2 linked regions of the Oryzias latipes genome follow. The protein of the gene in region 2 purifies or fractionates together with the protein of the main gene of each other region. This does not show direct contact. Links are inferred from orthologs where the notes say so. Each region holds a gene or a part of one and is shown on either strand. Other genes may lie near its edges.

Region 1 (5,328 bases), on a different chromosome or scaffold from region 2:
ATTTTAACATTGGTGTTGTGGTTATCCCGTGTCCTGCAGCCCACACCGGTTATCCTGCTGAAGGAGGGGACAGATTCGTCTCAGGGCATTCCCCAGCTCGTCAGTAACATCAATGCCTGCCAGGTAAGGGGGAACATCTACTAGCGAATTTACTACATAGACTGTGGAGCCTTTCAGACCTGCTGATTGCTGTTTCCTGCCCAGGTTATTGCTGAGGCTGTCAGAACCACTCTGGGGCCCAGGGGGATGGACAAACTGATGGTGGATGCCAGAGGTAAGGAGGGATGGGATTTGGAGAAGTTTAAACATGACAGAAAATGTTGTTTTGTTTGTTTTTTTGTTAACATGTTTGCATTCTCCAGGAAAGGCCACGATTTCCAACGATGGCGCTACCATCCTGAAGCTGCTGGATGTGGTTCACCCTGCTGCTAAAACCCTGGTGGACATCGCTCGTTCGCAGGATGCTGAGGTGAGTAGAAGTGGTATTCTGAAGCAGCTTTAAAATTGAAATTGACTTTTAAATGAAGGCGCCTCTCTACATATACAGGTTGGAGACGGCACCACGTCCGTCACCCTCCTGGCCGCCGAGTTCCTGAGGCAGCTGAAGCCGTTCGTGGAGGAGAGTCTCCACCCTCAGACCATCATCCGCGCTTTCCGCACTGCCACCAACCTCGCTGTCAGCAAGATCAAAGAGATCGCCGTCTCTGTGAAGAAAGACGACAAACAGTGAGCTGCCGATGGTTTTTGCGCAGCTGAGACTCAGTCCATCGTGTTTGCTGATGTTTACCTCCATCCTGTCAGAGAGCAGAGGCAGCTGTTGGAGAAATGTGCAGCGACCGCCCTGAACTCCAAACTGATCGCTGGGCAGAAGGAGTTCTTCTCTAAGATGGTGGTGGATGCGGTCATGTCTCTGGACGAGCTTCTGTCTCTGAAAATGATTGGCATCAAGAAGGTCCAGGGAGGAGCGCTGGAGGTGGGTGTTCTTTCTCGTCTCTGAGCGTTTGGTTTCTAGCTGGCTGCTTTTTTGACTCCCTTGTGATCATTTGTTTGCCCGCAGGATTCCCAGTTGGTCTCTGGCGTTGCTTTCAAGAAGACGTTCTCCTACGCTGGCTTTGAGATGCAGCCCAAACGCTACGATAACCCGAAGATCGCTTTGCTCAACGTGGAGCTGGAGCTGAAAGCAGAGAAGGACAACGCTGAAGTTCGTGTCAAGTCTGTGGAGGTATGAGGCTGCTACAGCAAATCCTCTTTAAGCTGTGTTCATACATGTGACATGTGTTCAAGAACTCGCTCAATTTAGCTCATGATGTTCACACTGGACAACCAGGAAGGGGCTTTTTTCTTCTTTTACTGTTTACTCGCGCATCTCCACCACCTACAGTTGGGAGAGGCTCTGTGTGAAATGTTGAAGTGGTGCAAATCTCATGAATCTTCTTCCAGGCTTTTTATTTCTCAGCTCTATTGCAATATATGAAAGACTTGGTGTCACATAATTTGGACCAGGCACAAATCACAATTATCGATTTTCTCGGCACTTCCTTAAATTAAAAGGGATGCCGTCCATACGTCTCTACCAAATCCTGATCGGTTGAAGTTTGATGGGGTTTATCTTTCAACATGCCCATAAAAAGTTTTAAAAACTTGTGTAGCAACGTTTGAACGTGAGTTTTAAATGAAAGCCTGAAATGTGCGTTTACGTTGATCTCTATTTGGAAGTGGTGGCTTGAACGCCCATTGCTGAGAGCAATTTCCTTTCCTGCTTGGTGAAGAAACATTTCGTCCACTTCTTCTGCAGGAATATCAAGCCATCGTGGATGCAGAGTGGAACATTCTGTACGACAAACTAGAGAAGATCTATCAGTCTGGAGCCAAGGTTGTTCTGTCAAAGTTGCCCATCGGCGACGTGGCCACCCAGTACTTTGCAGACAGAGACCTGTTCTGTGCTGGCAGGGTGCAGGAGGAGGACCTGAAGAGGACGATGATGGTGAGACAAAAACAATGTTTTCTGAGGTGTTTTGACGGCAAGACTCTGCTTTATTGAATCAAAAAAGAACCTGAAATCTCGTTTTAGGTTTTTTTGCTATAATGTTCTTTTGCCCTCCCAGGTTTTTGATGTGGAATACTGTTGGGATTATTTGAAGGCCCACTCCGATGAAAACTGTGTTTTTAAAATGTTCTTGAGGCATTTTTCTCATGATAGAGGACATGTAGAAAGAAAATTAAGCTTAAAACTGCATTACTGAGTATTTCTTTCTTCAAACAAATCGGGAGCAGACGAGACAAGTGCAGTTTGATAAAGGTGACGTAGAAAATACGCTGAGCGGGCCACTTCCTGCTCTGCTCCATTCAGATGCATCCACTTGTAGATAGATCCATGTACATCTTCATTTTCCTTGTCTGAGCTGGCATCTGGATCAAAACTATATGGCTGGATAGCTCCAATACTGGTCGCCCTTTTTTTGCAACAGTAATGTGAGGTTGGGGTTATGAGGGGCTGTAAGCTACCGGGAAAGCACGTAAACAGGGAGCTCTCAGTTATGGGTGACGGGAAAGGAGGCGGGTTACTCTGCACCAACAGTCCTGCTCACACCTCAGAGGTGAATTTCTTGTGAACTACTGCCTGCCGCTCTGCAGAAACTGTTTTAGAAACCACACAGGTTTTTGTCTTTTGGGCTAAAAACGGCATAATCTTAACTGAAAGACCATTAAGAACAATCTTACAATAGATCAAAAGATGCTAAATGGTAAATGGCGTATACTAATATAGCGCTTTTCTTCCTACAAGCACATAGCGCTTTACAGTCACAGACCCATTCACCCAGTCACACACACATTCACACACTGGTGGCGGCTCCGCTGCCAAACATAGGCGCCTGCCTACCACCAGTGGCAAGGTGGGGTTCAGTGTCTTGCCCAAGGACACTTTGACTCATGGGCATGCAAGGCGGGAATCGAACCTGCAGTCTTACGATCATGGGTCGACCGCCCTACCGCTGCACCACGGCCGCCCCAAAAGATGATCTGAGTGGGTTTTTAAAGACGGTCAGACAGCAAACACGCTTTGATCTGTGTTGTCATGTGATGTTAGGCTTGTGGCGGCTCCATCCAGACGTCTGTGGGAGCGCTAACAGAGGATGTGCTGGGACTTTGTGAAGTATTTGAAGAGGTTCAGGTGGGAGGAGAAAGGTGAGAAAAATGAGTTGACTTCAGATCCATCTGTGCATTTTGTTCTTCAAATACCTTTTTTAAAAAAATTCTATATGCAAATGGGTAGATTTTGTGAACTGCAAATGACTGCATTTTTATGCTTTCAAAGTAGATTTGGCAGATGTTGCATTTAAGGTTGGGCGATGTCCCTTAAATTGGCAGTTGACGATGTTTGCAGTAAACCATTGGGATGGACGATGATATCATCGGGGGGGATTTTAAACTTTTCGTTATTATATAATTATTATCTGTTATTTAACTTTATTGCTTTATTTATTTTATTTCCCCAACTACTGACTCATCCACGATGATCCAGTATAAACTGAGGGAAGTGACTAACAACAACAACAAAAAACAAAATAGAAAAGAAGTAGTCCGCTCCTGCACTTGATTAGTCAAGTGGACCGAGCGACCGTGTCTCTGGGCAGAGCAGACGGACTTTGTGTTTGAGGTGAAGGGAGGATGCTTTGTTACGTGTGCGCTATGATTGGGAGACTTCGGACTGCCATCCGTCCCGCAGCTCTAGGTGAACGAGCTACTGAGCTCAGGAGAACCGGGTGTCCCGGTAAAAGTGTGTGTCCGGGCAGAGCTCGGACCGCCAGCTCACACAGCGGCTTTGGGGCGGTGTGTGAGCTTTTCAAAGCAGAAATGCCGCTCAGTCCTTAAAAACCGTTCAATCACGTGGATTTGTGTTTCCAGTCGTGTCCCGAAAAAACAAAGGCTGATGTTATTCCCACATATTTACGTTCAGCCAAGCTGGAGATTGCAGCATTTCCCGCATGGATTTTATGTTCATCAAAGGTTAAATGTTGTTGTTAACCCGTGTTAGCCTCTCCTAGCCCTGGCTTCTTCCGGCTCTGTTCTTCTACAGAAAAAGCACTGACCACATGGATTAAAATTAAAATGATGACCAAACAAGTGCTTCATAATAACCGTCACATTAATAAAAGCACGTTTAGTAGATCGTTTTGTATATCACAGAGCTGCCAGATATCTATGTATGTAGCCTCTCATTGGGACTCATTCCCTCTTCCGGTATTTCAAACACTACTGCGCATATATGAATGATTTATTCTGACCGAAAGTGTGACCATGTGAACATTTGTTATAATCGGAAAAAGTTTTTCTGGGCCCATGTACACGATTGAATTCTAATCCGACCATTTAGCTGATCGAGATATTTTGTACATGTAATCACGGCTTATGGTGTCGACTCGCAGCGTGGCGGCGGCGTGGCATCACGATGGTGTCTCTCCATCGTGATGTCAGTCAGCCGTCATGATGGATGATGGTATTGTCGGTCGGCACAACCCTTGTTGCATCCACGATTTGCTGCTTTTGATGAAAAAAAAACAGTTTTAGTTTGACGTTTTGGTTTCTGTGGCATAATATAAATGTATTTTTCTTGTAAAACTCTTGTCAGTTTTTTAAATGAAATAATTGAGAATGAACATGCAATATGACAGGTTTACTTCCTGTTTTACTTTGAAGGTACAACTTCTTTAAGGGGTGCCCGAAAGCGAAGACCTGCACCATCATCCTCAGAGGCGGAGCTGAGCAGTTCACAGAAGAGACGGAGCGATCGCTGCACGACGCCATCATGATTGTGCGCAGAGCCATCAAGGTGAGTTGGAGCAGAAGAGACATCAGCTTTGGTCATCAATATCCTCGGTTGTCAGTTTCTTTTTTTTCTTATTTTGTGCAAAATGCAGTTTTTATTTTTTTAATCATTTTTTCCTCCAGTTTGATTTTAGAGTAAAATACATCGTTGTTTTGGTCTTGACTTCCTGTTGGTCCTGCTTTCTTAATTCTTGGCATGTTTGTCAAATTTAAATGTTTCAAATCCTGAAATTCAGTGTTGGACAAACATACTGCGAGATTTTGCCGAGCTTTTGTCTGCACTTGAATTATTTTATTTTTATCCTGTAGTGTCTTTAGAGATTTTGAATTGTGGCTTCAACCTTTCTCTGGGTGTTTTATGCTGATGACACTGCTGTTTTCTAACAAAGAAATTATCCTGGAATTCCTTTCATTTCAACTAGAAATCATGCATATAAATGATTTTAAAATTTATTTGTATAATAGTGCAAAAGATAAGTATTTGTTCAATTATAAACGTTC
Region 2 (6,450 bases):
TCATGTCTGTCTGAGAAAAGTGTAGGAAGTGTGGAGTGAGTCAAGTCTTCAAACATCTATAATTATTATTATTTCTAGAATGTTACTCCCGTGATAAATGAGGGAACACTGTACATCAGTGCAACTAAGCAAACACGGCAAAAACATACCAGACATTTGAGTAAAATGTGGATCTTAAGCTGCGTTCACACCGATTGGTGTTGGTCGCCTCTCCCTCGCCACATGAATTTGCTGCTGGACGTCTGTCCAAAACTGTGTTCATAAGCTTGACGCCCCAGCTGTGTGTGGGAGGAGCTACCACCAGATGTTTTCAGCCTGATGGCTGCATGGAGCGGTGTCTGTGTGCATCTCATGACAATGCATGGAAGACATGGAGGATGTTTAGAGATCAGAATGAGTTCTTTAGAGAAGCTCTACAGAAGCATCTGAGCCACGTCTCATCGATCAGAGATTCTCCAGCTCCACTCCACTCCTGCTGCAGAAGCTGCTTCTGAATGACAGCCGGCTTCCACTGTGTCTCCACGTCTCTGTGAGCCCGTTTAAAGAAGACCCCAGCAGGCTGCCCCCAATGCTGCTCCCGTCTCTGCCAACCTCCTGGGGTTGGCGTAGCTGATCGACTCAGTGAGCATGTCCATGTTTTTATATATATTATGTATGTAGTGGAGCCTTTTTTCTGTAAGAGACATACGACTGCTACTGTTGTGATTGCTGTGTTGTCAGAACAAAATCCTTAATAAAAAGTTGTGTGGGGGGAAAAAAGCTCACATTGCTTAAAAATACAGACTGGAGAGGAAATGGCCGCTTCTTTGTTCAGCAAACTGTCAACAGCCGCAAAGCATCATATAAACAATGTCATCTAACACTCAAGACATTCATAGGCTAAAGCAGCCGTCTCCAACTGTGTTTACTTTATACGAGTGGATGAATCTGATTAAGAAAAGGGTGACTCCAAAAAAATGGCAGCAATAAAGTGGCATGAAAGCAGCAAAAATAGCTGTTAACAAAAATGAACAGTCCAAGATGCCTCTTCTCTGCCATCCTGAGTGAAGGTGAGTGAATGCTTGTACAACCTTTTACCCAGATGTCATTACTTAGGAAATTAAAAAGGGGAAATATACTAAATTAAAGGGTAAACAAGAATAAGTGCCAAAAAAATACGTTTTGGCTCCTAGAACAAGTGCAGAACCTTCTTACCGAGTTGACATCCCAGATTTTCAGGGTTTTGTCGTCTGATGCAGACACCAGCAGGTTGGAATCAGAGGACCAGGCCACATCAGAGATGCCCTGCAGGATCATGGGAAATAGTTCAGACACATAAGAAGGAGAAGGGCGCTTCTAAAATCTATTCCTCCCACAGGAAATCCAGAGAACATATCAGAGCAATATCAGAGTACAGTTTTACTCACAAGTTTGTGTCCAGATATGGTTTTCTCAAACTTGCCATCATACGCTCCCCAGATCTTGATGAGTTTATCAGCAGCTGGAACAAGAGAACATCAGTCAAATCTATGAATTACTGTCATCACATCAATTATGAAGCCAACACTACACACAAATGTAACACAGCATACAAATTGATCCAAATGACAAGTTTAATACATCTGATAAACAGAAAACTATATTTACTAGATTAGAACATTCTACGTTTAATTCTAATTTGGTTCTAGTTTTCTCTGATTATTTCTCCTTGACAAGTTCATTTTGGGGCTGGGGGCCTCAGTGAATGTTAACTTCTTAGTTCAACGTGTTCCCCACCTCCACAGCACAGAGGCACAGTGACGTATGTTAGTTGGATGGATTATGGGATATTGGAGCATCAGTGAACAGCACTTTATAAGTTTCTATTTTTTGGTTTTCCCAACAAAACTAAACACTGTTGGTTCAGAAAATAAATCATCATCAGTTTCAGCATGAAACTGTCACACTTTACCATCTTTAGCTGATATCTGTCAGTTTATATCCTCGAATTCCAACATTATTCTGCTGATTTAGAGTGATAATTACAATGCGTGAAGTTTATTTGTACTATATTCTACTATATTTATAAAGACAACAAATATGCCCAAACATTGTTCTTGAAAAGATAGAAAGATTTCCAAGTATTTGGATGCTGGTTACAGCCCTGGCATTGTCTTACCCTTTCACCCACCTATTTCATCTCTGAGACTAACTCTGGAGGCGGATCGGAGAATGGAACAAAATATGACACCATGGTGAAATGGGCCTTTTAAAGTCCAACGTCAGGGCAAAAAGCCAAAGGGGCAGAAAGGAATAACACTACTAAAGTGGCTTTAGTAAAAAAATATATATGTACATAACTACTTCACATGTTTTGTTCTAACAATTAATCCGAAAAATCATTTGAAATAAACTCAAGATTCCTAAATGTTTGTTTTTTTTCTCTCTCTTTTTTTTTTTACTTGTCCTGTCCAACAGCTGGGCAGGTAGATGAGAGCTGACGGCCTCTTGTTTAGATTCCTAAATGTTAACATTTTGTAAACTCTACATAGTTTTTTTTTTTCATTGAGTAAACTCCCTTTGAACAGGGTCAACATCAACCAATATAATGGTTTCATGTTGAGTACATTTTGAGACATTCATTGCTTAAAAGCCACACAGAGGAGGATGAACTCACATGAGCTGGCGAGCCATTCTCCACTTGGACTGAATTTGACAGAAGACACGGCTTTGGTGTGTCCTGCTAACGTGAACTTCAGGCTGTAGTTTGGCTTTGCAGGCGCAGACTGTGGGGGGGCACATTTAATGCCATTGGTAAGATAGAAAAGAAGTACATATCAACTCTGCTAAAACAAAAACCAAAATGCATTGTTCACCATTTAATCTTGTATTAATTGGAAAACAAAAGAAACAATTGATGCAAAGCTGCAGTTGCACAAGAACACGGCCCAGAGTACTCAGTCATTTTCTTATATCCAGACCTTGCTTTGGCTTGCAGATGCTGACTGCACAACTGGAGGTTTTGTGTCAGTCTCTGGTTTCTTGTCTTCGGTTGCCATCATGAAAAAAATAGCATCTACTGAGCACTGCAAGGAGACAGAAGAGCACACAAGTATTTCAAATTACATGCTTGCACAGCCCCTTCGTCAAATTTATTATACTCTCGTTTATAGTTTAACGTGTTGTAGAAATATTTTGTTTATTAAAAGGTAAAGTTGATGCATACAATTGCAATGTAGATTGTATAGCCGTATTGGCTAAATTAAGCGTTTACAAATTAGCTCGATGGCTAAAAATTTTAGCTAGCTCAGTTAGCTTCGGTACGCTGACGTATAAAAACTCTTTTTTCTTAACTGGCAAAACAAAAACATCGCGAAGTGGCATTTGATGTACATTAAAGTCAGCTTCCACATTTTTAACGTCAAAATGTTTACCATAAAGAAATAATAGGTGAAAACAGCATCATATAACAAAAGCGACGCGGAATACCTTCCTTTGGCGCAACTTCAGACAGACTTTATATATTTGTACTTGAAAAAAAGACGCGTTGCATGTTCAAATGGATATGAAATAGACGTTAAAAAATATAAAGTGCTAGATGTTCAGGAAAACTATCAGCACTATGTACATGCGGTCACTTGTTTTTAGCTATTGACAACCTGCCACAAAAGCGGCCCTCTACTCCTCAGACAATGAAGATTTACGCAAACGCTCATACTTACAGAAACGTTTTACAGATTCACCTCCAGATTTTTTTCCTCCACCGAAGAAAACACGATTAAAACCAGTCTGTTTTTTCGTAATATGATCCTAAACTTACAAAAAACTAATCTACCTGCCTCCTTGTATACGTTTGGCTGCGAGAAAACCAACGAAGAAACGAGGGAATGTAGTGTGCCAGTGCAATGCGCAGGCGCGTCACACACAGAAGTAACGGAAACCTGTGAGGATCAAGTATCGATGGCACGAGTTAGAATAAACGTCACAAAATGCAGTTTTCCCTTAAGACGTAAACATTTTGCAATTAATATTTCAATTTACCAGAAAAAAAGTTAAGTGAAGCAAAATATATAATTCTCTTTTGATAATAGTATTATCAAAAGAAAAATATGTCAGTGCAAAATATTTGCGTTTTTTGCCAAATGAAAACAGTGGACACTCCAGAACACTAGATGGCAGTATTCCCCTTTGACTTCTGGGCTGACGTGCCCAGACAAATAGACACGAATTGAATTGCCAGCCATGTAGGTGCAGCAGGTCGGGAGAGGAAGTTAGCAGATGGTGACTGACTTCGCCGTGGAGGTACTTGAAGCGCATACTTTTCTGTTCAAGCTTCGGTGTAAAGTTTTACTGTTTTTGAAGAGGAGCATTGCTTGAACTTTTATTCCAATTTAACAATACGAGTTGGTAAACAACTTGCCGCTACCCTCCCTTCCCGTTAGATGATGATCGGAGTTTTTTCTCGAAACGGATTAAAAAGAAAACTTAGGTGATTTTTTTAAATTGCTTAAATACCTGATATATATTATGACTAGTTAAAATAAAAAAGTCAGACTTTTTTTTCAATAACATTTTATAGCAGCATTTTTAGGTGTTGCAGAGTTAAAGAAATAAAGGATTTTCGTTCACCACCAGGCAAGAAAAACATTTCATTTGTGCACAGACTAGCTAATTATGATAGCTAACACGTTGGACGTTTCTTGACCTCGAAGAAAATATTGGTATTCATTTGCATTGTCTCTTCAGGAAGTCTGTGTGGTTTGACAAATAATTTTTTACAATAGTTGTTGGAAGTAACGTTTTGGGGACTACGCCTCCATCTGCTAGGATACAAAGCCCTTATTTAACTGAGTAAAACTTTGAGAGTTCGTGCACACGTGAAGCATTTCAGTATCCAGTAGAAGGCATTCCTCGCGCGTGTCCAACAACAACAGGGGTTCTTGTGGGTTAAAGTGATAAAACACGCGGTTTTTGTCACGTCCGCCCACTTCCGCCTGGCACGTTCTGCAGTTCTTAAAGACCCTTTCTGAGGAATGTGAAGGAGGGAATCTGCTGCAGTGGTTTTGGTTTGCTTTCATGGAGCTGTAGCTTCCCATGTTTACATTTTTAAGTTGGTTAATTACTCCAAAATTCACTTTTTATTTGTGGTTGTTTTAATTTTTATTACATTTTGCGTTTTTTGATCTTCTGCATAGTGGAAACATTAAAAAACAAACAAAACAGTAATAGATTACAACATTCATTATTATATTAAGGATGAATTAAAAAAGCATAAAATATCAAGGGCTGAGATAACTAAACAATTATGTACTTATAAGTTTACTACATAAATGAATATATTAAGCTGTAAGTTTACAATTCTGGAGGAATATCTGTGAATTGTCACAGAGGTAAAGTTAGCTATATATTCATACGATATAAAAATTCTTCTAAAGCTTTTAAGTCATTGGACCCAAATCCCTCTAGAGAATAAAACAGATTAACCACTATCAGTGACAGCTATTTAGATAAGCTTTCGAGTTTTTTTAGTGTCAAATTTTGTGTTTTTCTGCAATAGCTTTTAATTTATTGAACCCAATCACGCCAGATCTCTCTAGAATAGTAAAACGGATTGACCAATATTGGAGACAGCAGCTCACATTAGCTTTTGATGCTTTTTCTAATTTTAGTAAATTTCTTAGTCTAACGTTTTGCACTTTTCTTCAATAGCTTTAAGTTATTAAACGTTAAAAGTTATTAAAAGTTATTAAATTAAATAACTTAATTTGTTTTACTCCAAAATAACAAAATTAGCCACTATTGAGGGACATCTGTTTAGATTAGCTTTTAAGTTTTTTTTGGTTTTTTTCTCAGTTTTAGTTAATTTTTTAGTGTGTTTGCCTTTCTCTTCAATAGTTTTGAAGTTATTGAACCCAGTCACCCCAAATCACTCTAAAATAGTAAAACTGATAGACCACTATTGGGGACAGCACTTCACATTAGCTTATAATGCTTTTTCTAATGAGTTAATTTCTTAGTGTAAGTATAGTCTCAAGGCACAAGGCTGGGAAAGGTTACAGCAAAATCTCTGCTAGTTTGGAAGTTCCTACGAGTACAGTGGCCTCCATCATCCTTAACCCTTGTGCTATCTTAGAAGATCCCACCCGTATTTTGACGTGTTCTCCCAACCATGACAAAGGTGGAAAGATTTTTAGTAATCCATGGACACCAGTGAAGATCACAAATCATTGAAGAAAAAAGGTTCAGCGCATTGTCTAGTGGGGTCTAGATGACCCAACTCCCAATCTTAAAGTGCCTAGGATAGCACAAGGGTTACGGGGAAGAAGTTTGGTACCACCAGGACTCCACCTGGCCGGCCATCTGAGCTTTAGTCATTGAGGTGACCATTAACCGATGGTTACCCTGTCAGAGCCCCAGCCTTCCTCTGTCAAAGGAGAATTACCTTGCAGAAGGACAACAGTCTCTACAGCAATCAAGTATTTAGGCCTGTAT

Evidence for each region.
Region 1: the proteins of wdr5 (region 2) and cct7 purify together in Homo sapiens (affinity purification with mass spectrometry; 3 studies listed by BioGRID and IntAct, with this or other methods). This does not show direct contact. The link is inferred for Oryzias latipes from reciprocal best matches to the Homo sapiens genes WDR5 and CCT7.

Annotation. Positions count from the first base shown.
Region 1 is NC_019876.2:13,088,828-13,094,155, forward strand, and holds part of cct7 (T-complex protein 1 subunit eta), read left to right. Parts: intron 1-39; coding exon 40-123; intron 124-204; coding exon 205-274; intron 275-362; coding exon 363-469; intron 470-547; coding exon 548-726; intron 727-801; coding exon 802-973; intron 974-1,057; coding exon 1,058-1,222; intron 1,223-1,795; coding exon 1,796-1,984; intron 1,985-3,088; coding exon 3,089-3,186; intron 3,187-4,698; coding exon 4,699-4,831; intron 4,832-5,328. UniProt on the Homo sapiens protein: Component of the chaperonin-containing T-complex (TRiC), a molecular chaperone complex that assists the folding of actin, tubulin and other proteins upon ATP hydrolysis.
Region 2 is NC_019870.2:23,023,948-23,030,397, forward strand, and holds the start of wdr5 (WD repeat-containing protein 5), read right to left. Parts: upstream 3,872-6,450; 5' UTR 3,681-3,871; intron 3,045-3,680; 5' UTR 3,021-3,044; coding exon 2,940-3,020; intron 2,745-2,939; coding exon 2,636-2,744; intron 1,481-2,635; coding exon 1,407-1,480; intron 1,285-1,406; coding exon 1,195-1,284; intron 1-1,194. Other genes in the region: bromodomain-containing protein 3, read left to right, coding at 4,237-4,260.